Linked DNA regions of Macaca fascicularis. The protein of the gene in region 2 interacts with the protein of the main gene of each other region in a biochemical or structural test. Links are inferred from orthologs where the notes say so. Each region holds a gene or a part of one and is shown on either strand. Other genes may lie near its edges.

Evidence for each region.
Region 1: the proteins of PTEN (region 2) and PRDX1 form a complex in vitro, tested with the Homo sapiens proteins (2 studies listed by BioGRID and IntAct). The link is inferred for Macaca fascicularis from reciprocal best matches to the Homo sapiens genes PTEN and PRDX1.
Region 3: the proteins of PTEN (region 2) and NHERF1 form a complex in vitro, tested with the Homo sapiens proteins (3 studies listed by BioGRID and IntAct). The link is inferred for Macaca fascicularis from reciprocal best matches to the Homo sapiens genes PTEN and NHERF1.
Region 4: the proteins of PTEN (region 2) and PDGFRB form a complex in vitro, tested with the Homo sapiens proteins (2 studies listed by BioGRID and IntAct, with this or other methods). The link is inferred for Macaca fascicularis from reciprocal best matches to the Homo sapiens genes PTEN and PDGFRB.
Region 5: the proteins of PTEN (region 2) and RPL23 form a complex in vitro, tested with the Homo sapiens proteins (2 studies listed by BioGRID). The link is inferred for Macaca fascicularis from reciprocal best matches to the Homo sapiens genes PTEN and RPL23.
Region 6: the proteins of PTEN (region 2) and USP13 form a complex in vitro, tested with the Homo sapiens proteins (3 studies listed by BioGRID, with this or other methods). The link is inferred for Macaca fascicularis from reciprocal best matches to the Homo sapiens genes PTEN and USP13.
Region 7: the proteins of PTEN (region 2) and DLG1 form a complex in vitro, tested with the Homo sapiens proteins (2 studies listed by BioGRID and IntAct, with this or other methods). The link is inferred for Macaca fascicularis from reciprocal best matches to the Homo sapiens genes PTEN and DLG1.

The regions. Positions count from the first base shown.
Region 1 is NC_088375.1:189,202,978-189,206,477, reverse strand, and holds part of PRDX1 (peroxiredoxin-1), read right to left. Parts: intron 3,488-3,500; 5' UTR 3,477-3,487; coding exon 3,371-3,476; intron 605-3,370; coding exon 451-604; intron 1-450. UniProt on the Homo sapiens protein: Thiol-specific peroxidase that catalyzes the reduction of hydrogen peroxide and organic hydroperoxides to water and alcohols, respectively.
Region 2 is NC_088383.1:96,836,842-96,839,822, forward strand, and holds part of PTEN (phosphatidylinositol 3,4,5-trisphosphate 3-phosphatase and dual-specificity protein phosphatase PTEN), read left to right. Parts: coding exon 1-166; 3' UTR 167-2,981. UniProt on the Homo sapiens protein: Dual-specificity protein phosphatase, dephosphorylating tyrosine-, serine- and threonine-phosphorylated proteins.
Region 3 is NC_088390.1:81,120,969-81,124,986, reverse strand, and holds the start of NHERF1 (Na(+)/H(+) exchange regulatory cofactor NHE-RF1), read right to left. Parts: upstream 2,801-4,018; 5' UTR 2,582-2,800; coding exon 2,141-2,581; intron 1-2,140. UniProt on the Homo sapiens protein: Scaffold protein that connects plasma membrane proteins with members of the ezrin/moesin/radixin family and thereby helps to link them to the actin cytoskeleton and to regulate their surface expression. Necessary for recycling of internalized ADRB2.
Region 4 is NC_088380.1:157,000,395-157,002,709, forward strand, and holds part of PDGFRB (platelet-derived growth factor receptor beta), read right to left. Parts: coding exon 2,209-2,315; intron 1,904-2,208; coding exon 1,330-1,903; 3' UTR 250-1,329; coding exon of another isoform or gene 66-249; 3' UTR 1-65. UniProt on the Homo sapiens protein: Tyrosine-protein kinase that acts as a cell-surface receptor for homodimeric PDGFB and PDGFD and for heterodimers formed by PDGFA and PDGFB, and plays an essential role in the regulation of embryonic development, cell proliferation, survival, differentiation, chemotaxis and migration.
Region 5 is NC_088390.1:59,850,097-59,854,300, forward strand, and holds the start of RPL23 (large ribosomal subunit protein uL14), read right to left. Parts: upstream 2,801-4,204; 5' UTR 2,774-2,800; coding exon 2,761-2,773; intron 2,167-2,760; coding exon 2,083-2,166; intron 2,052-2,082; exon of another isoform or gene 1,917-2,051; intron 1,786-1,916; coding exon 1,657-1,785; intron 1-1,656.
Region 6 is NC_088376.1:91,516,311-91,519,810, reverse strand, and holds part of USP13 (ubiquitin carboxyl-terminal hydrolase 13), read right to left. Parts: intron 2,217-3,500; coding exon 2,063-2,216; intron 1-2,062. UniProt on the Homo sapiens protein: Deubiquitinase that mediates deubiquitination of target proteins such as BECN1, MITF, SKP2 and USP10 and is involved in various processes such as autophagy, endoplasmic reticulum-associated degradation (ERAD), cell cycle progression or DNA damage response.
Region 7 is NC_088376.1:2,756,722-2,760,966, forward strand, and holds the start of DLG1 (disks large homolog 1), read right to left. Parts: upstream 2,801-4,245; 5' UTR 2,734-2,800; exon of another isoform or gene 2,584-2,733; intron 2,282-2,583; exon of another isoform or gene 1,710-2,281; intron 1,654-1,709; exon of another isoform or gene 1,517-1,653; intron 1,398-1,516; 5' UTR 1,367-1,397; coding exon 1,348-1,366; intron 645-1,347; coding exon 513-644; intron 1-512. UniProt on the Homo sapiens protein: Essential multidomain scaffolding protein required for normal development. Recruits channels, receptors and signaling molecules to discrete plasma membrane domains in polarized cells.

The DNA.
Region 1 (3,500 bases), on a different chromosome or scaffold from region 2:
CTTCTCTGCTGCCAGGTCATGAGCAGTAAGAGAAAGTCAGACTTTGCACTTCTTCCATGAGAAGCCAATACTTGAAAGTCTATTGCCAAAGCTTCCCAGTTGCTGTTTTAAAAGTTCACATGCGGCCAGGTGCGGTGGCTCACACCTGTAATCCCAACACTTTGGGAGGCCAAGGCGGGCAGATCATGAGGTCAGGAGATCGAGACCATCCTGGCTAACACGATGAAACCTCATCTCTACTAAAAATACAAAAAATTAGCCGGGCTGGTGGTGGGCACCTGTAGTCCCAGCTACTCTGGAGGCTGAGGCAGGAGAATGGCGTGAACCCAGGAGGCGGAGCTTGCAGTGAGCCAAGATCACACCACTGCCCTCTAGCCTGGGCGACAGAGCGAGACTCCATCTCAAAAAATAAAAAAAAAGTTCATATGCCAAATGAACCAAGAGATTTACCATGCTAGATGACAGAAGTGAGAATCCACAGAAGCACCAATCACTTGGCAGTTGAGTTTCTTAAATTCTTCTGCCCTATCACTGAAAGCAATGATCTCCGTAGGGCACACAAAGGTGAAGTCAAGAGGATAAAAGAAGAACACAACATATTTTCCTGGGGGAAAAACAGGAGTCATGGTTAGCATTTGACACAGACTTCCTTGCTTTATATTTTCCTATACAAAAAGAAGCAAGTTGATGGCTGACACAATAACCACTAAATGCCAAGATGCTCGATATAGATGTCTCCTAGTAGCTACTTTTAGAACCTGGTGCATTAGGAAAACCTGAATGAAAGAAACTTCCAATCCCATGCTTTATTCTCCTGCCTCCATATTCTTAGCTGCCAACCACAGAATAAACACTGTTCAGTCTAATTTTGATCTTTTCTGAGTGGCTAAAATTAGCATAAACACCAAGTTCTCCAAAGATAGCAAAAGCAAGAATGCACTTATAAGCATGGCCTAATACCAACGCTTAACAAACAGCGCCCAGAGAAGCTGAATTGCAGCACTCCTCTGCTGTAGAGATAAGACACCAATAAGAAGTCAGAGCCTTTGCACTTCTCCCGTGATGAACCATAGTAATGGAACAAGCATGGTTTAAGTGATCACATGTGTTCCTAACGTGCCTGACAGGACAGGAAAAATTTTAAGCCAGGCACAGTGGTGCGTGCTTGTAGTCCCAGCTACTTGGGAGGCTGAGGTGGGAGGATCCCTTGACCCCAGGAGTTTGAGGCCAGCCTGGGCAACAGAGCAAGACGGTCTCAAAACAACAAAAAATACATACATACACATACACAGAGAGAGACAGAGAAAAGACAAAAGTACTAGTGAGTAACAGAACTTCTAGCTGCAATTTTAATGAAGTCACTGGGATTAACCACTGAAATAACAGATCGTCAAACTGGTCAGGCAGCCTAGCCTTTTCACCACACCCACCAGGCTTAAATACCAGAACAATTCCAAATATTCACTCATTTCCAGGTAGCAGCAATGTTTGCAAAGTCAAATAGGCTGGGTGTGGTGGCTCAGCCTGGCATGGTGGCTCATGTCTGTAATTCCAGCATTTTGGTAGGCCGAGGCAGGTGGATCACCTGAGGTCAGGAGTTCAAGACCAGCCTGACCAACATGGTGAAACGTGTCTCTACTAAAAATACAAAAATTAGCTGGGCGTGATAGCGGGGGCCTGAAATCCCAGCTACTCGGGAGGCTGAGCCAGGAGAATCACTTGAACTGGGGAGATGGAGGTCGCAGTGACCCAAGACCATGCCACTGCACTACAGCCTATGCAACAAGAGCAAAATTCCATCTCAAAAAAAAAAAAAAGTCAAACAAGCAGCCCTTTTAGACATTACCACTTTGCAGTATCACTGGAAACTAACTCATCTAAACAACCCCTGCAGGGATTTGCCTAACAAGCACCATGGGGCCTCAGCAGGTCAAACCCTGGAGGGCAGAGAGCAGCTGCTCCTAGACCTCCTGCTTATACTCCTGGGCCAAGGTCACCTCCCTACGGTGCAACTTACCTTGTTTGCTAGGAGAAGCCCCATCAACAAACTGTGATTATGTCAGGAAACCTAGTCAAATGTTCTAGCAAAAACTAACTTCAGAAACTGATGCTACACCACTGAGAAAAGGACACTTGACACCTGAGTTTCAGGTTTGCATTCTAAGGAATCTATATCCTCAACTGTCCCAGGAGATCCAGCTGCTCTGGGACTACAAGGTAAAGGAAGGAGGAGCCTCAACAGAACTTGCCAAGTGTCTGCATGAAACTATGACAACAGAAAGGAGAGTTGTTCCATCTGTAATATCAACTCTCCTCTGGGGTCAAAACAGGCAAGGGAAAGTGCCTAGCCCTCAGCTTAATATTAACAACTGTAATATATATGTGACCCAAATGAACAAGCAGTGTCACAGCTCCAAAGAGTTGAGTGAGTTCTGAGACTTTAAATGTAGAATGTCTCTTATAACAAGAGATAGCCGGGCGCGGTGGCTCAAGCCTGTAATCCCAGCACTTTGGGAGGCCGAGGCGGGCGGATCACGAGGTCAGGAGATCGAGACCATCCTGACTAACACGGTGAAACCCCGTCTCTACTAAAAAATACAAAAAAACTAGCCAGGCGAGGTGGCAGGTGCCTGTAGTCCCCGCTACTCGGGAGGCTGAGGCAGGAGAATGGCGTAAACCTGGGAGGCAGAGCTTGCAGTGAGCTGAGATCCGGCCACTGCACTCCAGCCTGGGCGACAGAGCGAGACTCCGTCTCAAAAACAAAACAAAACAAAACAAGAGATAATGCGAATTTCTCCAATAATAAAATAGAGGAGGGCCAGATGCAGTAGCTCACACCTGTTATCCCAGCACTTTGAAAGGCTGGGGCAGGTAGAGGGCTTGAGCCCAGGAGTTGGAGATGGTGCCCATCTCTACAAAAAGCACAAAAATTAGCCGGGCATGGTGGCTTGCCCCTACAGTCCCAGCTACTTGGGAGGCTGAGGTGGGAGGATCGCCTGAGTCCAGAGAGGTAGAGGCTGCAGTGAGCCATGACTGCACCACTGCACTCCAGCCTGGGTGACAGAATGAGACCCTGTCTCAAAAATAAAAATAAATAAAGAAAATAGAGGAGGAATACTAAAAAGATAATTGAGCTAGTATGTCCAGACATAATGAAGCATGTGGTTTCTCCAGAAGTGGTTTGGTCCTAGGATATATACCCTGTAATCACTTGATAATCACTACTTCAACATGAAGGTAACAACCTAAATACTTCTTTCTAGGAGACAAAACGTTTTACAGTCAAACATAACACTGACACAAATCTAACAAGCCATCCCTAGAATATAAAATAACTCCATCTCAATGAGCCCAGTGTAAATTCTCTTACCTTTGTAGTCAGACAGGCTGATATCTTTAAACTGACCATCTGGCATAACGGCTGTGGCTTTGAAGTTGGGGGCAGGGTGCCCAATTTTAGCATTTCCTGAAGACATCTTCCTATTAGCTAGAAATAACAG
Region 2 (2,981 bases):
AACAGTAGAGGAGCCGTCAAATCCAGAGGCTAGCAGTTCAACTTCTGTAACACCAGATGTTAGTGACAATGAACCTGATCATTATAGATATTCTGACACCACTGACTCTGATCCAGAGAATGAACCTTTTGATGAAGATCAGCATACACAAATTACAAAAGTCTGAATTTTTTTTTTATCAAGAGGGATAAAATACCATGAAAACAAACTTGAATAAACTGAAAATGGACCTTTTTTTTTTTAATGGCAATAGGACATTGTGTCAGATTACCAGTTATAGGAACAATTCTCTTTTCCTGACCAATCTTGTTTTACCCTATACATCCACAGGGTTTTGACACTTGTTGTCCAGTTGAAAAAAGGTTGTGTAGCTGTGTCATGTATATACCTTTTTGTGTCAAAAGGACATTTAAAATTCAATTAGGATTAATAAAGATGGCACTTTCCAATTTTATTCCAGTTTTATAAAAAGTGGAGACAGACTGATGTGTATACGTAGGAATTTTTTCCTTTTGTGTTCTGTCACCAACTGAAGTGGCTAAATACTGGTTCACATCCTACCCCTTTGCACTTGTGGCAACAGATAAGTTTGCAGTTGGCTAAGAGAAGTTTCCGAAGGGTTTTACTACATTCTAATGCATGTATTCGGGTTAGGGGAATGGAGGGAATGCTCAGAAAGGAAATACATTTTATGCTGGACTCTGGACCATATACCATCTCCAGCTATTTACACACACCTTTCTTTAGCATGCTACAGTTATTAATCTGGACATTCGAGGAATTGGCCGCTGTCACTGCTTGTTGTTTGCGCATTTTTTTTTTAAAGCATATTGGTGCTAGAAAAGGCAGCTAAAGGAAGTGAATCTGTATTGGGGTACAGGAATGAACCTTCTGCAACATCTTAAGATCCACAAATGAAGGGATATAAAAATAATGTCATAGATAAGAAACACAGCAACAATGACTTAACCATATAAATGTGGAGGCTATCAACAAAGAATGGGCTTGAAACATTATAAAAATTGACAATGATTTATTAAATATGTTTTCTCAATTGTAACGACTTCTCCATCTCCTGTGTAATCAAGGCCAGTGCTAAAAGTCAGATGCTATTAGTACCTACATCAGTCAACAACTTACACTTATTTTATTAGTTTTCAATCATATACCTGCTGTGGATGCTTCATGTGCTGCCTGCAAGCTTCTTTTTTCTCATTAAATATAAAATATTTTGTAATGCTGCACAGAAATTTTCAATTTGAGATTCTACAGTAAGCGTTTTTTTTCTTTGAAGATTTATGATGCACTTATTCAATAGCTGTCAGCTGTTCCACCATTTTGACCTTACACATTCTATTACAATGAGTTTTGCAGTTTTGCACATTTTTTAAATATCATTAACTGTTAGGGAATTTTACTTGAATACTGAATACATATAATGTTTATATAAAAAAGGACATTTGTGTTAAAAAGGAAATTAGAGTTGCAGTAAACTTTCAACGCTGCACAAAAAAAAAAGGACATTTGATTTTTCAGTAGAAATTGTCCTACATGTGCTTTATTGATTTGCTATTGAAAGAATAGGGTGTTTTTTGTTTTTGTTTTTGTTTTTTTTTTTTTAAATGTGCAGTGTTGAATCATTTCTTCATAGTGCTACCCCGAGTTGGGACTAGGGCTTCAATTTCACTTCTTAAAAAAATTTCATCATATATTTGATATGCCCAGACTGCATACGATTTTAAGCGGAGTACAACTACTATTGTAAAGCTAATGTGAGGATACTATTAAAAAAGGATTTTTTTTTTCCAGAAATTTGGTGTCTTCAAATTATACCTTCACCTTGACGTTTGAATATCCAGCCATTATATTTCTTAATGGTATAAAATTCCATTTTCAATAACTTATTGGTGCTGAAATTGTTCACTAGCTGTGGTCTGACCTAGTTAATTTACAAATACAGATTGAATAGGACCTACTAGAGCAGCATTCATAGAGTTTGATGGCAAATAGATTAGGCAGAACTTCATCTAAAATATTCTTAGTAAATAATGTTGACATGTTTTCCATACCTTGTCAGTTTCATTCAACAATTTTTAAATTTTTAACAAAGCTCTTAAGATTTACACATTTATATTTAAACATCGATGAGTATTGATTGATTACTCCTAAGTTAAATTGGTAAAGTTAGAGACAACTATTCCTAACACCTCACCATTGAAATTTATATGCCACCTTGTCTTTCATAAAAGCTGAAAATTGTTACCTAAAATGAAAATCAACTTCATGTTTTGAAGATAGTTATAAATATTATTCTTTGTTACAATTTTGGGCACCGCATATTAAAACATTTATTGTTCCAGTATGTAACATGGAGGGCCAGGTCATAAATAATGACATTATAATGGGCTTTTGCACTGTTACTATTTTTCCTTTGGAATGTGAAGGTCTGAATGAGGGTTTTGATTTTGAATGTTTCAATGTTTTTGAGAAGCCTTGCTTACATTTTATGGTGTAGTCATTGGAAATGGAAAAATGGCATTATATATATTATATATATAAATATATATTATACATACTCTCCTTACTTTATTTCAGTTACCATCCCCATAGAATTTGACAAGAATTGCTATGACTGAAAGGTTTTCGAGTCCTAATTAAACCTTTATTTATGGCAGTATTCATAATTAGCCTGAAATGCATTCTGTAGGTAATCTCTGAGTTTCTGGAATGTTTTCTTAGACTTTTTGGATGTGCAGCAGCTTACATGTCTGAAGTTACTTGAAGGCATCACTTTTAAGAAAGCTTACAATTGGGCCCTGTACCATCCCAAGTCCTTTGTAGCTCCTCTTGAACATGTTTGCCATACTTTTAAAAGAGTAGTTGAATAAATAGCGTCACCATTCTTTGCTGTGGCACAGGTTATAAACTTAAGTGGAGTTTACCGGCAGCATCAAATGTTTCAGCTTTAAAAAATTAGGGTA
Region 3 (4,018 bases), on a different chromosome or scaffold from region 2:
TAATGAAGATAAGGAAACAGCCCCACTTTGCACACAAATTCAGACTAAAACGAACTGGCAAACCTCCATTTGATGCTTTAGTAGTAAAGGGGTGTGTTTTAGAAAAAAGAACTCTTACAATGTCTGTTAACATTTTTTTGCAATAACCGCACGGGCCATCTGTATGCTCAACACACAGGGTTGCGGGGATTTTCTGCTAGAGGGACTCAATGGTGTTGACTAGGAGTCAGTTTAAGGATCTGGGATTCAAACGCCGGGCATGAAGGAGTGCGGTTCAGCATTTAAAACTTTAATAAGAGGCTCAGATACTTCATGTCATTTCTACAATTCTAGAGAAGGCAGGCATCACATCGCCCAATGCCTCCATCTCACAGATGGGAGAACCAAAGCTCAGAAGTCCTGGGACTTGGCTGGTGATGGTGTCCCCAGGATTTGCTGGTGGCTCTTCTCTCATCTCTTGGCCTAACAAAGTACACACAAATGTAGGTGTCCCTCCAAAACATGCAGGAATCTGATTCTGTGCTTACCCAGGAAGCTCAAAGCTGCTGCCTTTGGGCACATGTGCTATGCCAGGCCTCCACATTAGCCTCCCAGGCCCTCTGGCACCCAGCGGCATAACCAAAAGGGCAAAGGGAGGAGCTGAATGAGACTGTAACTTGTGGGGGGTGGGGGTGGGTGAGTATTTGTGTGGGTTCCAAAGTCCAAAAAAAAAAAAAAAAGAATGTCAAATCGATCGATGGACTCAGCATAAAGTTCACACTGGATTTCTGCCTGGGACTGGAGATCATCAGCCCCAACTCCCTGGTGTCAACCCCCTTGCTACGGGTGCTCAGGTCCCTTCCCCCTCCCCTTGCCAATGCCAGGTTGGCAGGGGCAGGAAGTGGGAGCCTGGTGGCCCTGGCATTCCCAGCACCCACCTCTGGCTGGACAGGGCTTCTGGTGACCTCACTTCCACCAAGCCAGTTGATCCTCTAGGGCTTTGCCTTCTCCCTTAATGCCAAACTGTACCCTTTCTCTGTCCAGAAGGATCCTCCTGGTCCCCATGGACACTCCCATCAGACACTGCCACCAGGGCGAGCTGGTGCAAACTGAAGGGGCCCTGGGAGGCTCACGCCCTGCCCTACACAGTACACCACTCCACTCTCTGGGGACAGGAGGCTCAGCACAACTCCTGTTTTGCCAGCTGCCCCTCCTGCAGCTGATCCAAACTGGGATCCTATGGGCAAACACCAAACATGGGCAAAAAGCAACCGGCCTGCTGGCTGTGTGGGCACCAGAGTGACCGTGGCAAGGCCAGGGCAAGACCACCGGCTCACCGTGAGCTCCGCTGGCGCACACAGGGCCGTGAGCCTCAGGAGCTCTCTCCCCTCCCCCTAGCCATCTTTCTCTTCTTCTAAGGTCTTCCCCCTCCCCTCCCAGATACAGCTCTAGGCGCTTACTCCTCACATTCCTGAGAATCGTAAATCCTCTGAGGTGGCAGAACCACCACTCCGAGATGCCTTGGCTCCTCCTCCCCGCCAGGCAACCCCCACACCGCCCTGAGATGGTGGGGCTTCCTCTCCCTTAGAAGTCCCGGGAGGATGAAGTCCTGCAGGACTGAAGTTCAGGACACACACCGGCGGGCTGCGGGGAGGGCCTCCTTGCGCCGGGGCTCCACACAGGAGTAATGCTATTTCTCTAGCTTTTGACGTAGGAGTGGCGGGGGAAGCTGGCACCTCTGGGGAGGAGAGCCCTTCCTCCCTGGCCCATCTGCGGACTGGGGTGAACGAGGAGAGGGCGCCAGGGGACGGGCAGGATTGGGGGATTCCGAGGAAGGGGAGCAGACACCCGCAGACCCGAGGGAAGGGGGGCTGGGTTCCCCTGCGCCGCCCTCCCAAAGGCCAGGGAACAAGAGGTGCAGGCGGCAAAGGCTCTCAGGCTCCCAGCACAGCCTGGGAAGGAGAGGAGGTCGCGGGACGCAGCCCCAGGCCTGCCTAGGATGTGCCAGAGCGCCTGGTAGGCGGGCGGAAGCGGTCTCCCCCTCGCAGCTCGAGTTTCAGAAAAACGACGGCCGGCGCGGGGCTGGACGGCCGGGGCACCTGGGTCTCTCTAGATCCCCCTCCCACTCCATTCCAGCCTGCGCGGCCGGGGCCGAGCTTACCTGCTCCGGGTGGCTCTTGTCGGCCTCGCGAGGCTCATTTTCATTGCCAGCCCCCTGCGCCTCGGCGGCGGCCGCCGGCTCGGCCTGCCCCGGCGTTTCCTGGGCGCGCAGCAGCTCCTCTCGGACCTGGACGCCAAGCTTCTGCAGCTGCTCGTCCGTCTCGGGGTCGACCACCAGCAGGCGCACGGCGTTGAGTGCCGCGCGGATGCGGCTCACCACCTGCTGGTGGGTCTCCTTCTCCACATTTTCGCCGTTCACCTCCACCAGCCGGTCCCCCGCCAGCAGCCCCGCCTTCTCGGCCGGTGAGCCGGGCTCCACCAGCCGGATGTACTGGCCCAACTTGCCCTTCTCCCCGTGCAGGTGGAAGCCGTAGCCGTTCGGACCCTTCTCCAGGCAGCAGAGCCGGGGCAGGGGCGCCCCAGCCGCCGCGTCCGCGCTCATCTCGCCCTGCGACGGGTCAGCGGCGCGACTTGGGGTTCCGTTGGGGATGGGACGGGACGGCCCAGCCCTTCTTCCTGTCCGGCAAACCGGGAGCGCAGCGGGGAAGCCCTGAGCCGCCGGACGGGCGAAGCGAGCAGGTGTCCCAGGAACCGCCGGCCGCCGCGGGCCGCGAGGAGCCGAAAGAACTGCACGGACCAATCCCCGCCCCGCGCGGCGTCTGAGCGTCCCAGAGCCCGCCCCAGCTCCTTACCCCGGGGGCGGGGCCGCGCTGAGGGTGGGGACCTCCGCGGGCCAATAGGGTGCTGCGGGCCGGGGCGCTCCGTCCGGGTGAACGGCGCCGGCCAATGGGAACGCGCGGGGCGGGGCCTGTGCTCGGCACTGCGCCCCGCAGCGGGCGAAGACAGTGCGCTCAGGAAGTGGAAGTGTTTGTTACCGAGCGGCCGGCGCTGGGGTGGCAGGGGCGTGGCCCGCCGAGTTCCCGGTTCTGGGCGGTGGGGCCCGCTGGCTCAGGCCTGGTTTCCCCTACCTGTGGCGGGGAGTGAGGAGAGCTGGCCCTCGGATAAAGGGCTCTAACTTTTTTTTTTGTTTTTGAGACGGAGTCTCGCTCTGTCGCCCAGGCTAGAGTACGGTGGCGCGATCTCGGATCATTGCAACCTCCGCCTCCTGGGTTCAAGCGATTCTCCTGCCTCAGCCTCCCGAGTAGCTGGGATTACAGGCGCGCACCACCACGCCGGGCTAATTTTTGTATTTTTAGTAGAGACGGAATTTCGCCATGTTGGCCAGGATGGTTTCAAACTTCTGACTTCAGATGATCCGCCCTGGGATTACAGGCGTGAGCCACCGCACCTGGCCAACGTTTTAACAGCCTTTAGCCAAAGCCTGGGTGCAGCTCCAATTGAGAGGGAGAGGCTGTTGCCGTGGCAACCACTCCCGCGCTCGGGGCAGTGAGGGCCTAGCGGTCTCGAGAATTAAGACGGAGGGCCTCCTGGGAACCTACAGAGTTGTTTGAATAACATTTTTCCGGCCGGGCGCGGTGGCTCAAGCCTGTAATCCCAGCACTTTGGGAGGCCGAGGCGGGCGGATCACAAGGTCAGGAGATCGAGACCACAGTGAAACCCCGTCTCTACTAAAAAAAATACAAAAAATTAGCCGGGCGCGGTGGCGGGCGCCTGTAGTCCTAGCTACTCAGGAGGCTGAGGCAGGAGAATGGCGTGAACCCAGGAGGCGGAGCTTGCAGTGAGCCGAGATCGCGCCACTGCACTCCAGCCTGGGCAACAGCGTGAGACTCCGTCCCAAAAAAAAAAAAAAAACAAAAAAAGAATAACATTTTTCCGTTTGTGGGAACCCTAACCCTAATCCACTTTGTGCTGTCCCAGGACTTGCATAGAGGAGTGCAGGTTCTGATCCCTGCTGGGAAGATGAGGGCTCAGCGAAGGA
Region 4 (2,315 bases), on a different chromosome or scaffold from region 2:
GGCCAGGAGGTGCTGGGTACTGGCAGAGGGGAAGCTTTGGGCAGGGCAGGGTGGGGGCCAGCCCCCTACAGGAAGCTGTCCTCTGCTTCCGCTCGAGGCGCGGGGCACCCTGAATCCGGCAGCTGTTCCAGCTCTGGCTCTGGTTCCACCTGGCGCTCAAGCTGGGGCTCTGGCTCTGGTTCCTCCTGGGGCTCCAGAGGGCTGTCACAGGAGATGGTCGAGGAGGTGTTGACTTCATTCAGGGTGGAGCTAGAGGAAGGAGGCAGTGAGTGACAGGCTAGGAAGGAGCCCAGGAGGATTACAGCAGCAGTCATGAAGAGCCTTCGGTGTGTCTGCCCCTGCACCATGGGCTTCACACACTCCGGCTCATTTAACTCTTGTGAAAACTATGCAATGCCTGCACCGTGAGGAAAGTGTGGTTCAGAGAGGTTATGTCACTGCCCCACTTCACACAGCAGGGAAGTGCAGGAGCTGGAACTTCAGAGCAGGGTTGGCTGGCTCCAAAGCTCATTTCTCACCCACTAGCATCTGCCTCCTCTGCACCCCTAAAGGTGTATGCTATCTCATTTAATCCTTGCAATGACTGCCTAATAGAAGTACTTTTACTGTTTATATTTTATAGAAGAGGACACCGGCCGAGTGCGGTGGCTCACGCCTGAAATCCCAGCACTTTGGGAGGCCGAGGCGGGTAGATCACCTGAGGTCAGGGGTTCGAGACCAGCCTCAACACGGAGAAACCCCGTCTCTACTAAAAATACAAAATTAGCCGGGTGTGATGCTCCATGCCTGTAATTCTAGCTACTCGGGAGGCTGAGGCAGGAGAACTGCTTGAACCGGGGGGCGGAGGTTGCGGTGAGCCGAGATCGCACCACTGCACTCCAGCCTGGGCAAGAAGAGTGCAACTCCATCTCAAAAAAAAAAAAAAAAGAAGAGGACACCAGTGTTTACACAGTGAAGCAGCTTGTCTGAGGGCACAAAACAGGGCGAGCATTCACACCTCAAGCTATGGGAGATCTGCACTTCACTCCTCTGCGTTCACACCTCAAGCTGTGGGAGAGCTGCACTTCACTCCTCTGCGTTCACACCTCAAGCTGTGGGAGAGCTGCACTTCACTCCTCTGCGTTCACACCTCAAGCTGTGGGAGAGCTGCACTTCACTCCTCTGCGTTCACACCTCAAGCTGTGGGAGAGCTGCACTTCACTCCTCTGCGTTCACACCTCAAGCTGTGGGAGAGCTGCACTTCACTCCTCTGCGTTCACACCTCAAGCTGTGGGAGAGCTGCACTTCACTCCTCTGCGTTCACACCTCAAGCTGTAGGAGAGCTGCACTTCACTCCTCTGCGCCATCCACTGGAACTCTTGGATGATTCGTCTCTTCAACAGTTAGAGCAATGAGGGCCTTTGGGAGCCTTCTAAGGCCTGTGTGCACCCCTGGCACATATGGAGAAACTGAGGCTCTCAGAGGAAAAGCCTTCCCAGGTCTCATAGCGGCTAGTGGCAGAGTTGGGACAGTACCCCAGCCTGGGGCTCCAGCCACTTCACCTTGGGCTGGATCTTGCTTTGGAGGTGGGCGTGGCCTCATGAGGAGCCCTTCTCTCCAGTTAAGGGGAGATCCTATGTGGACATCAAGTCCCCACAACAGCAGGGTCCTCCTATAAAGCCCCCGCTGAGCTGTAACTTCACCACTTCCCAAGGCAAAAGAAAACCACAATCTCCTTCCCAATCTGAATTCTGTCCTGAATTCCTGTAGGCGCCTCTGACTCCTGCAGCCCTGGAGGCTCTCTCCAGCCCCAGGGCATGGTGCTGAAGAACAGAACATAGGCCTCTGGCTGGCCATGAGTAACAACTGGGGTGCTGGGGATGCTAAGTAGGTTTGCTTCTTCTCCTTGGGGCTAGGACAGGACCTAGAGATGAGAGAGTATAGATAACCTCTGGGGGCTCCCTTAAAGGAAATAGCTACCTTGCAAATAATTCCCAGCCCATACTTTTGTTTTTACTAACCTGCCCTTTCCACCTCAGGGCATCAAAGTTCAAATGAGTTCCATTCTCTCTTTTATTTGTTGTTAGGGATAAGTACTTACCCTAGGTAACTTACCTCTGAGGCAAGCCTGACAGCACGCATGCAGGCAAACACACACACACACACACACACACACACACACACACACACACACACACGATATCCTTGGCCCCAGGCCACAGTGGTTACCTGGCTAGGCTGGGGGAACCCTCCAGTGGGCCCTCGTCAGCAACCTCGGGTTTGGGGTCAGGCAGGGGGATGATATAGTCGTTGTCACCCTCATTGGGCTGCACGGC
Region 5 (4,204 bases), on a different chromosome or scaffold from region 2:
CAATGAGCAGAGACCAAGCTATTCAGATTTATACTGGAAAACAGTTGGAATTCCAGGGCCCAAACACCAGGCTTTATGTTTTACTTTTAAAGTTTTACTTTCCAGTGTCATAAGTAACTTTTACACCCATCTGTACTAAAGTGAAAAAGATGCTTTTCCCAACTTTCAAAATCAAGTATCACTACACAGTAAAATATAATGCTTGTGAAGAACTATTGTAGAGTCAGACACACCTGGATTCAAATCTTCACTGATACTAGCGTGGGGTCCTTACACAGAATTTTTATAATGACAGGAAGACTATACAAAAAATAGATAAGTCTAACCAAGTTAGCAATGGGACACACATGAGGCAGCCAATACTTACTGACCCTCCTCTACTTATAAACCATTAAATGCTCACAAATTCATCAAGTAGACAAATAGACCTGGCCCTTTTGCACATTTCTGTGCTTGTTATTTATTAAGTTCCAAGGGGAGGGGATGTATTCATTTAGCAGAAACAAGGACCAAAAAAGACATTAACAGAATTGGATACTCACAGCTCGTTTTAAAACTGAAGTGTTCTGAGCTCTGGTCTGTCCCACCACTGACTGAGACCAACAATCCACTCTCCTGCCATCTCATCTACAAAGTGATGGCCATTTGCTCTGCTCTTCTCTAACAGCTCCCTGGGCCACCAATCAGACCCAGGAAGTGTTCTGAGAAGAGGAAAAAGCCCATGCAATTGCTGAATCACAAGCACAGTGCTACCAAGCCCTCAAGTGGCTATTAATGGTAAACAAAAAAAGATTTCTAACCCAAAGGTTAAAAATCTACTGGAGAGCATCGTGGAGTGGATACAGGAATAGGAGTAACTGTAACACATGGCTAACAAATCAACATCATATTTGTAACTCAAGGGATGGCCATGAACTCTTTAGAAGAGCAAGACATCCCAGGGTAGAGACAGACTAGGCAGGCACAGGAAAAAACTGCAAGAGCTGAAGTTAAAATGCATCAAATACCAGAAGTTCTAAAGCCGGACAGGACACAAACTGCAAGTATTTTGAGGCCTCCCCCTTTAAATCATACAGCTGACAGGAAAACTTATGAGGGGGTAGCCTGAGATTAAGTAATGAGCAATTAGCTGGGTGTGGTGGCGCACACCTATGATCCCAGCTCCTCGGGAGGCTGAGGCAGGGCAATCACTTGAGCCTGGGAAGTGGAGGTTGCAGTGAACAGAAAGATATGTGCCACTGCACTGCAGCCTGGGCAACAGAGTGAGATTACATCTCAAAAATAAATAAATAAAAATAAAATAATGAGCAGCTTCTCGTTTTCATTTTCTAATTTTTTTTTTTTTTTTTTTGAGAACCCAGGAGGCAGAGAGGTTGCAGTCAGCCAAGATCGTGCCATTGCACTCTCCAGTGTGGGCTGAGCGACAGAGGGAGACCCCATCTCAAAAAATAAATAAATAAATAAATCTAAAGTATGGAAATGACAAGATGATGGTCCCCCCTCCAACATAATATGAACAAAAACTTAAGATACTTATCTCACATTGCCTCTCAATGGAAAACAACCTTGAGGCCTTGAAAACTGATCCATTTTCCAATAAAGGAAAGAGTCCCCCCACTACTTATCAGTGTTAAGGTGGGCTCAGTGTTTACTCACCCTTTTTTCTGAGCTCTGGTTTGCCTTTCTTGACTGTGGCCATCACCATGTCACCCACACCAGCAGCGGGAAGTCTGTTCAGCCGTCCCTTGATCCCCTTCACGGAGATGATATACAGGTTTTTGGCTCCTACAAATCAATGTAAATAAAAATGAAAAATGTTGAGGGCCCATCAGGCCGTTCCATCAGTATTACATTTCCCAAACACTTCCAAAGTCCCTCCCTCCACTGACTGCCCAAGCAGTTAGTCCTCAAGAACGCCTTGTCACACCACCGATTGAAGCAAACAACACAACATGTTGCCACTTCACCCAAAAGCGATGTTTTCACTCTCCCCTTTCTTGACGGCTCAATAGGTCATTAGGCACAGGCCCATTGAGTGCTTTTAAAAGGGGGAGTATAGAAACCTGCAGTCAAAGACCTCACCTGTGTTGTCAGCACAATTGATCACAGCTCCTACCGGAAGACCCAAGGAAATCCGGAATTTCGCACCAGAGGACCCACCACGTCCTGTGGATATAAAGGGAAGGTAAACAGGATAAAGAGATCACTATCTAGACATGGTTCGCAGTTCCCTCTCATACTCTTAAACTGTAATTCACCGCACATACTTTGACAGATGGTATGCTATAGATTAGCTCGCTCGGATTTTACTTATGCCCTCCCCGTGTGCCACCCGATTCTCACGGAAAGTAGCCTATTTCTCACTATTACCACTCTGACATCGAAATTAAGGAACCTAGACGACTCAGCCCTTGTTCCAACTTTCGCAAAACGCAATTGCTCCTGCAAAGCATAAGACCGCAGAGGTCGCGCAAACCAGGGCCTAATCCAGTCTAACTTCAACCCCAATACGATAGCCCTATTCGCAGAGCGATCTCGCGGGATCCAGACTATATTCATGTCGGGATCCTGCTATGTCAACTCTCCAGCACCCCACTGCCACTTTCGAGGGCCCTGGCAGTGCTCTTGCGATGGCCTGGCTCTCCCTCTCCGGCCTGAAGGAGAGCAAAGCGCCCCAGCTGCCTAGGGCCACCGCTCCTGACGAATCCGCCAGCCACTGCACGACAGATGGTGGAGGATCCTCCAGAAGCAAAACCTCACCTCGCTTCGACATCTTGAACGCCGGAAAAAAGAAAAAAGGAAGTTGATTCAAAGGACGCTGGGATATGAACTTTGACGCCCCGCCCACCTTCGTCACGTGGCCGGAGCTAAAAACTCTGCCTCTTCCGCCTCTGGGCGCTGCCTTATTGCGTATTAAGTTCACGACGTTACTTTGAGCCCTCTCTGAAGTGGGCGTTGAAGTAGAAGCGCAAGAGATAGGAAATCTCTTCTCCAGGAGCTTAAGAGTAGTTAGGGACATGGAAGCAGTGATTTGTTAACTTGCTCACGACCTCTTTTGACAACTTAATACGTGCCAGGCACTTATCAGCACACTAGAGAATAGGAATTAAAACACGGTTTGTGCCGTGTGGGGGTTCCCAAAGAAACAAAGACAGTGGGGGAGGGGGGAGAACCAGCTCCAAACGGTTTCGTTCAATGTAATACAATTGAGAAGTGCTACAGATCATTCCATCTATGTGTTCTTGGTACCATACCATTCTGTATTTTACATATACAGTATTGCTCTGTTTATTGACCCGCCCCCCCCCCCCCCCCACACACACACACAGTTGTTTTTTGTTTTTTGTTTTCTTTTTTTTGAGACGGAGTCTCGCTCTTGCCCAGGCTGGAGTATAGTGGCGCGCTCTCAGCTCGCTGCAACCTCCGTCTCCCGGGTTCAAGCAGTTCTCTGTCTCAGCCTCAGAGTAGCTGAGACCACAGGCGCCCACCACAACGCTGGGCTAATTTTTGTATTTTTAGTAGAGATGGGGTTTCGCCATGTTGGCCAGGCTGGTCTCGAATTTCTAACCTCAAGTGATCTGCCCGCCTTGGCCTCTCAAAGTGCTGGGATTGCAGGCGTGAGCCCCCGCGCCAGGCCACTTGCTCCTTTCACAGCTTCAGCCGCCCCTTTCTTCTGGGTTCTTCCCGTGCCACGATGCATTCATTCAAATACTTACTGAGCTCCTACTTTGTAGCAGGTTCTGTCCAGGGCGTACAGCGGATTACATCAGACAACAAAATAGATCAATATTGTTGTCCTTATGGAGCTTACATTCTGCTGGGGTGCAGGTGGAGGAGGATATTAGACACTAAACAAAAGATATAATAAATAATTGCAGTATGTAGTATGTTAGATGGGGATAAGTATTATAAAAATATAAATAGTATCGCTTCTTGGCCTTTTGGCCAAGATCAAGTGTAAAATACAAATAGTGGCCGGGCCTGGTGGCTCACGCTTGTAATCCCAGCACTTTGGGAGGCCGAGGCGGGTGGATCACGAGGTCAGGAGATTGAGACAAGCCTGGCCAACACAGTGAAACCCCGTCTCTACTAAAAATACAAAAATTTTCTGGGCGTGGTGGCACGCGCCTGTAATCCCAGCTACAGCTACTCGGGAGGCTGAGGCAGGAGAATCGCTGGAACCCGGGGGGCGGAGGTGGCAGGG
Region 6 (3,500 bases), on a different chromosome or scaffold from region 2:
AACATTCCTGTTAACTCTAAGCTGTTTTAAAATAAAATAACCAAAGGCAGGAAAAAAAAAAAAAAAAAAAAAAAAAACCACTGCTAAGCGCCTGACAAGAACCAAGAACCAGATGCGGTGTTATACATTTTCTGATTTGGTTCCACCAGCAGCTATGATTAGAGGTCATGGGTCCCACAGAGGTGTGAGGCCAAGGAGGAGGATAACTACAGGACTGCAGTTAGCCACCATCACACACCCATGACAGTAACCAACACTGCCAAGACAACTTCCTGTGGAGGTTACCCAACACCTCAGACATAGGGCTACCAACCTCGAAGGCCTCTGTGCTATTCCTACTCAAATGATTAAATACAAAGGGAAAAAGAGGAAGCTCCCAAGCACCAGCAGATCTGGTCCTGGAAACTAGCCTGTAGTCAAAATTTTATATAGATCTGAATGGCCTTTCTGGTCATTTCTTTTGTATTACCCAAAAAAGAAAAAAAAAACAAACAAAAAAACTCCTGATTTATCAGTTTGTAAGTACACTTACACACATATCTGTTTTCCTAAACACATCTTAGATGCTTTTAAAATTCATTCCCCTGTCCCCAGTCAGTTTATGATGTACTTATATCTAGGTTGCTAACATTAGATATTCCCAGCAGTCAAATTCCAGAGACTAAATTATAAATCTCCTTTCTGAAAAAAAAATAGTTATCACTAATAAATGATAAACAGAATTAGAAAAGATCATGGACCTGAGCAGACATGTGAGTCAGTAACCCTGAGGTAGACAAGAGAAACCACTGAAGCCTAGTTCTAACAAGGAAACAAACAACAGACTCCCATTCCCTTGTTTCTACACTGGAAAGATTTTGAAATTGATCAAAAACTGCATGAGCATATAGAAAATGAAAATCATTTCATCTCAAATCATCATAATCATCACTTTTCAGTTAACATCATAAACTGACCCATGACTCCCCACACACAAGAAAGAGGAAAATGGGCCATCCAGGGATTTGCTGAACTTTTTTTTCTTTATTCTAAAAAAAAAAAAAAAAACAGGATACATGTGCAGAACGTGCAGGTCTGTTACACAGGTATACATGTGCCACGGTGGTTTGCTGCACCTATTGTCTTGTCCTCTAAATTCCCTCCCCTTTCCCTCCACCCCCCAAGAGGCCCCAGTGTGTGATGTTCCCCTCCCTTTGTCCATGTGTTCTCAATGTTCAACTCCCACTTATGAATGCGAACATGCGGTGTTTGGTTTTCTGTTCCTGTGTTAGTTTGCTGAGGATGATGGCTTCCAGCTTCATCCATGTGCAAAGGACATAATCTCATTCCTTTTTATGGCTGCAGAGTGGAATTGCCGAACTTTACAAAAATGACTGGTTCACAGGAGATGAGCAATCCAGCAGCTATTTTATCTATTTTGCTTATACGATGTTAATTCAAAGAAATACCATTTGTCTATTCTGCCTAGGAAGAACCAGATTAGACTGATGGAAGGAGAAGGCACCAAACATGAATGCCACATCTCTGCCTCCTTCTCTCTTCCAAAGTCCAGAGACCCTTCTAATGGGCTTTGCCTTTACAAAGAACCCTGACACAATTTATCTCCCAGAAGAGGTGGCTGAAATACTCATGTGCCAAAGCCGGATTATTTCAAGAGACCTCTGCTCAAATGTCTAACTTTAAAAAATACAGTCCTGATCATTTCCCTCAGACTTTATAGCACAACTTATAAATGACAGTGTTAAAGAATTTTCTACATATATCATTACCAATAATTTTCCCCAAAATTATGCTGACTCCATACTCAGTAGTTGGCCAAATTTATAGGCAGTGAAGTAGGTTCGAACCATAACGCCTCCATAAAACCTGTGATGCATTTGATTCTTCTCAAAGGAAAAGTCACATGGGAACTAACAAAGAGATGAAAAGAGATGAGCAAAGCAGACATCATCTGGGCTGGGTCTACTCCTGACACACTTCAGTGACTAAACCATTCTCTCTGATTCAAGGGTTTTCCCATATGAAGACACACAGTACTAACTTCCCGCTTTGGAATTGTTACCCTTGTTGGTTGCCGCCTCCATGGCCACAGGTAACTGCATCAGGTAATCCACCCTCTCCGTGTAGCGGACTTTCCGGGTCTGACAGCACTGAATGCGTTCTTCCACCAAAAAACGAAAAACATCGCTTGGGTTTTCCGAGCCGATGCGGTTCCTCTGAAGGATGGATTGTATCAGGTTAGTAAATGCTTGAATATTGAGCCACTAAGACTTACTAGAAAATGAACTCTAAACCTGGTGTAAACAGTTGGCTTTATTAAACATTTCCTCTGGGCATGCCCATTCACCAATGCACTTTAATAGCAAAACACGGGAATTTATCTAAAGTCCAAAAATGGGGATTGGTAAAATAAAATACAGTTCATCATGGATTACTATGTCAATATTATTAAATTAAAAACCATGGGAGAGAAATTCATAGAATGAAAAGAAAGGAGGAGGAGAAGCCAATCAAAAGAGAAAGGGAAAAAAATAAAGGGCTGCCCCAGAAAAATGAAAACATGTACAATATGATTATATAAATACACTCATATAAATTAGGTACAAATAAAACAGAAATCATGCTCTGTTAACAGATGTAACGATGTGGCAAAACATTTAAGTGAAAACGCTGCTTACGGAAGGGCATGTAGAGAATTAACATAAGACCTGGAAAGTGACGGGAAGGGCAGATGCCAAACTATGAACACTGGCTGTTGGCCGGGCGCGGTGGTTCATGCCTGCAATCCCAGCACTTTGGGAGGCAGAGGCGGGCGGATCATCTGAGGTCAGGAGTACGAGACCAGCCTGGCCAACATGGTGAAACCCCACTTCTACTAAAAATACAAAAAATTAGCCAGGCGTGGTGGTGGGCGCCTGTAATCCCAGCTACTCAGGAGGCTGAGGCAGGAGAATCGCTTGAATCTGGAAGGCTGAGGTTGCAGTGGGCCAAGATCATGCCACTGCACTCCAGCCTGGGCGACAAAAAAAAAAAAAAAACACTGGCTGTTTGCAGGGGGGTGGCATTAAGGGGGATTTTGATGTTCTCCTTTGTGTTTTCTATATTTTCCACAAAGAACACTGTTGTAACCAGGAAGGGGAAAAAAAAAAGTTGTTTTTTCAGGGGGAAAAAAAGCCTTTACTCAGGAATTCTCAGTGGCTTTCCAGCTCACATCTGTAATCCCAGCACTTTGGGAGGCCAAGGCAGGTGGATCACGAGGTCAGGAGTTCAAGACCAGACTGACCAACGTGGTGAAACCCTATCTCTACTAAAAATACAAAAATTAGCCAGGCATGGTGGCAGGTGTCTATAATCCCAGATACTCAGGAGGCTGAGGCAGGAGAATCACTTGAACCTGGGAGGCAGAAGTTGCAGTAAGCCAAGATCGTGCCACTGTACTCCAGCCTGGGCAACAGAGCTAGACTCCGTCTCAAAAAAAAAAAAAAAAAAAAAAAAAATGT
Region 7 (4,245 bases), on a different chromosome or scaffold from region 2:
TAAAACTTTCCATTTTCTTGCCTGTAAAATACGATTATTAGACAAGATCACCTCTAAGATCATTTTCCAGGTCTAAAATTCTGATTCCATGAATGCCAAGTTTAAACAGAAGTCTATATTAAGGGACTGAATGTTCTTACACACAGCAGAATCCTTCACACACTTTCAATGACTTCAGAGACATACAAGTCAAATACAGAAGCAAGCTAACAGTAACTCAGTCATACCTTTTAGGTCCTGAAACATTTTTGCAACATCTTTTAACAGTTAATGCTATTAAGCTGTGAAGCAATGTTCTCAAAAGCCACTGAAATGATACTGAAAGTTTTTTGGTTACTAGGTATTTTAGGAAAGGATCCTGGCCTATGAAAAACACACACGCACTGAAGATGTTCAAGTTACCGAACGCCTCATAGAGAATTAAGTACATCATTTTCTTAAGTTTAAAATAACTGAATCAAGAGGAGCATAAAGCCTAGCTGGCATAATAGTTACAAAGTTTTAATTCCCACCTATTAAAGCCTGAAAGAGGTTGCTCTGAAATATGTTAATAACCCGTTCTATGGAACTTCTGAGCTGTCTGTCTTCAGTTTGGCTTAGTTTTGAACGATATTCTTCCAAAAGGTGCAATGCTCTCTGGGTATCTGAGAAGAAAAAGCAGAGCCTGATTAAAACTCTCTATTTACAAAAAAAGTATCACACACTAGTGCAAATAATTCTGCATGACACCTAAACAGTTCCCCAAATCCTTCAGGTCAACTGATGTCACTATGTTCATGTACACATATTCCTTAGAATGACCAAAAAATAAAAAAAAATTAAAGACAAGAAAAATTTAAACATATATCACATTAGAAAACGGAGGAGAGTGAGCAGTTTGGAATAAATATGTACTGTTAGTTTGCCAAAGTAAAAGATCAAAGTATTAGCAACAGTTTCAGATTACCTGATATGCAAAAGCAGATAATCTACATTTTGTCATTAAAATCCAAATTTTTAACATTTCAAAATACAAATTCTTAGTATCCCACGGTTGCCCACAGAATAGTGCTTAGTAAGAATGATGAAGTGAAATACTAAAACACCAATGCAGAGTTTTTAAGGACATCTGTGGAGGGGGGGGGTGTTAATTGCCTCTCTTAATCACCAGAGAAATGTTAAGAAAGTTTAACAAACATTTTCCTGTTTCCATCTTCTGAAATGATGTGAGACTTACATCCCCTAACCAATAAAGCTAGGACCGTGCTGTCTCATCAAAGTTACACAAACTATTCTAAAACACCAATCAAAAAACTGACATACGGAAAAGCCAAGTGACATCAACAGAGTTATGGAATAAACTCTCACCTTGCTTCCGGACCGGCATTTTTCTCCAGAATCAGGAAGAGGGCACACACCTTTAAAAACACACAACAGAAAGGAAAAAGGATAGAATCATGTTAAACTAGCATTTCCCCCTATCGAAATAGAAAACCCTCGCAGCCCTATTGGAAAACCCCACGTTCCAAAGTTTTACCAAGTCAAAGAAAGAGTCTCAAAACGCAGCAGTTGTCTGTCAATGTGGAAAGCTTCTCCCTGGAGTGGGTACCCCTCCAAATTAAGAACAGAGAGAAGTCGGTGTTCAAACTCTCCTCGAAAGCGTCCCCCTCCCCAAAGAGCGTAGACCTGAGGCCGCCTCTTCCCCCGGCACAAGTATCCACGCTCCCCACCTGCTACTGGGGACGGGCCGGTGAAGCGCTCCGACCCTTGGCCCCTGAGCCAGCAGCGGCCGCAGAGCGCTGAGAGGGGACCGGCGGGACTGGCCGCCCGCCCTGCCCGGGCCCCCTCCTCCGCTTGCCTTTCTCCTTGCTCGCTGCCTCCGGGCTGCTCCAGCGGGGGCCGGACAGGGCAGCGGCCGCTCTCCGCGACGCCCTCGCGCCCCGCATGCACACCTCCGCGGGCCCCCACACCTGCGGCGCCGCCACAAAGTTCCCGCGAGCGGCGTGCGCTCGGAACTGGGGTGCGCTCCGGCCAGACTCGGAGCAGCTCCCCGGCCCGGCCCCGCTCCACGTACCCCCGCCCCGCCCGGGGCCCGAGGAGCCGAGCGGAGGGGGTGAAGGGACGGGGGAGGAGCTCCCTTGGGCCGCCGCACCCCCGCGGCCTCTTCCTCCTTCTAGGTCGCGCCGCCTCCCCGCTCGCCGCGGCCCACCGGCCCGCTCGCCCTGTTGCCGCCTGCCCGCCCCACCCCCGGAACCTCGCCTCCTTCCGCGCCCCCAACCGCTCTCCCCCTAAACTTTCCGCCAAGATGGCGGCCCCCGAGCTGGCCTGCCGCGCTCCCACGTGACCGCCTTCCCGGCGCTCTCAGCCAATGGGAAGTGAGGAGGCGGCTCGCGCCGAGCCCCGGGCTCCCCGCGCTGCTACCTTCGGGTTGGAAGGGGGAGGCGGGTCGGGAGAGGGCTGGGGAACGGAAGGGGGACACGGGGAGCATCCTGAGGGAACCCCCTCGCTTAAAAGGGCGGCCGCTGAAGTGGCTCTGAGAACAAAGGAGTTAACACGCGGACTCCACAGGTGGCCCGGGGTGGCCCTGGAGGAGCCCGCCTTTACCTTGCCCGAGCCCACCGGCGTGTCCCGCAGTTCCGAGCTAAACGCGCCAGGCCGGGAAGGCTCGGGCTGTCTGAAGAGAGGCGTGACCTCGCCTACACCAGAGCCAAGGCGCACATTCCGAGACACCCCTTAACCTCATTCAACACGTGCCGTTTCCAACTCCGCTGCGGAGAGAGCGCCTGGCGACCCCAGGGGTAGATCCCATCGGGGAAAAGCCGCCTTAAGGAGGAGCCAACTGCACCTCCCAGGGGGCGGGGAGGGCGGGGCCTGGGAGAGGGAGAGGGAGGAGTTCGGGGAGGGGTGCCAACTCTGCATTGCCTTCCACTCCAGGCTGCTTGTTAAGTTCCTATTCGTCCCTTAGTAATAGGCTTGGCGGGAGGGGGTTCATTAAAGAAGGACATGTAAAATAGAGACACTGGGTAATGTGGCAAGAGTTTGAGGGTTATACTACAAGATTTTTAAGCCTAAGTGATAAATTCCAAGTATGGTATACTTCAGGGTGGGGAGAGAAGGTTTGTTCATTCATTCGTTCATTCATTCATTCATTCATTCCCCCAAGCCTGCGTCCCAGCCCGGTCAGCATCGCAGGTGTTACCCAAACGCTGACGGTCCCTTTAAGAACTCACCTGGAGTCGCGCCCTCCGAAGCTGAGCCGCCCTCGGCCAGCGCTGCAGGTTTAAGTTTCGAGCGCACCTGTGAGCGGAACCACGGGCCAGCTGGGACCCCGCTCCCGGGCTGAGCCACCCAGGTTATAGAAGGGGAGTCTCGGGAAGCTCTCCAAGTCACTGCCCAGGTCTTCGAACCTCCTCTGGGTGACAAGGACCTCCCTATTCGGAGTTCCAGAGAGAACTTGCCCAAAGTTACCCCGAGTGAGTGACAGAACTGGAAACCCGGAGATCCTGTCTTTCAAAGCCGGAAGGCTCTTCCCAGTAAGCCTGACGGCCTCTGAGGCCGTATCCATTGGCCACTAAAGGGAAGGCCGAGGAACCTCGTATTGTAACCTTAAAGCTACTCGCAGGTATACTGACCACTGGTTGAATTTTGGATTGCACCTTAGAATCCTAACTTATTGTAAGGACCCACCGACTTTAGAACCTATCTAGGACAAGGAACGGAGGTCCAGAAAAGGGAAGCAACTTGTCCAAGGACGTAGAAGCTAATCCGTAACAGAGCAGCCCAGAACTTAGGTCTCCTAGCTCTAGTCAGGGCTCTTTCTATTGTGATTTTGGACAACTTGACAGAGAGGTATGTTGGTATGTTGGCAGCAGACCTCTGTGCTTTCCCGGATCAAGCATCCTGGGATCTTGAACAACAGTTAAAGCAACATTGCATAGAGAAGATGGGATAGAAGGGTCAAACAGTCCTGAAAGCAGGGGTGTCCTAAAAGCCAGGAACTTAACAGAGGGATGGAAGTTGTTTAATAGTGAAAATGGCTCATGGCATGCATGATACTCTCAAGACTTCGTTGATGGACTGTGAATGGAATGGTTGCAATAAGAAACCGTTCTAAGAATGGAATCACTTCAGAATTCAGGAGAAAGAGGGAGGGAAATTTGCCCTCTCCCTTGATGACATTTATTGTTCATATATGTTCACTTGCTAGGAAACGGGGATAGAAATAAATAAGATCCAAGTCCTGCTCTCAAGGATACACAGCCTCGT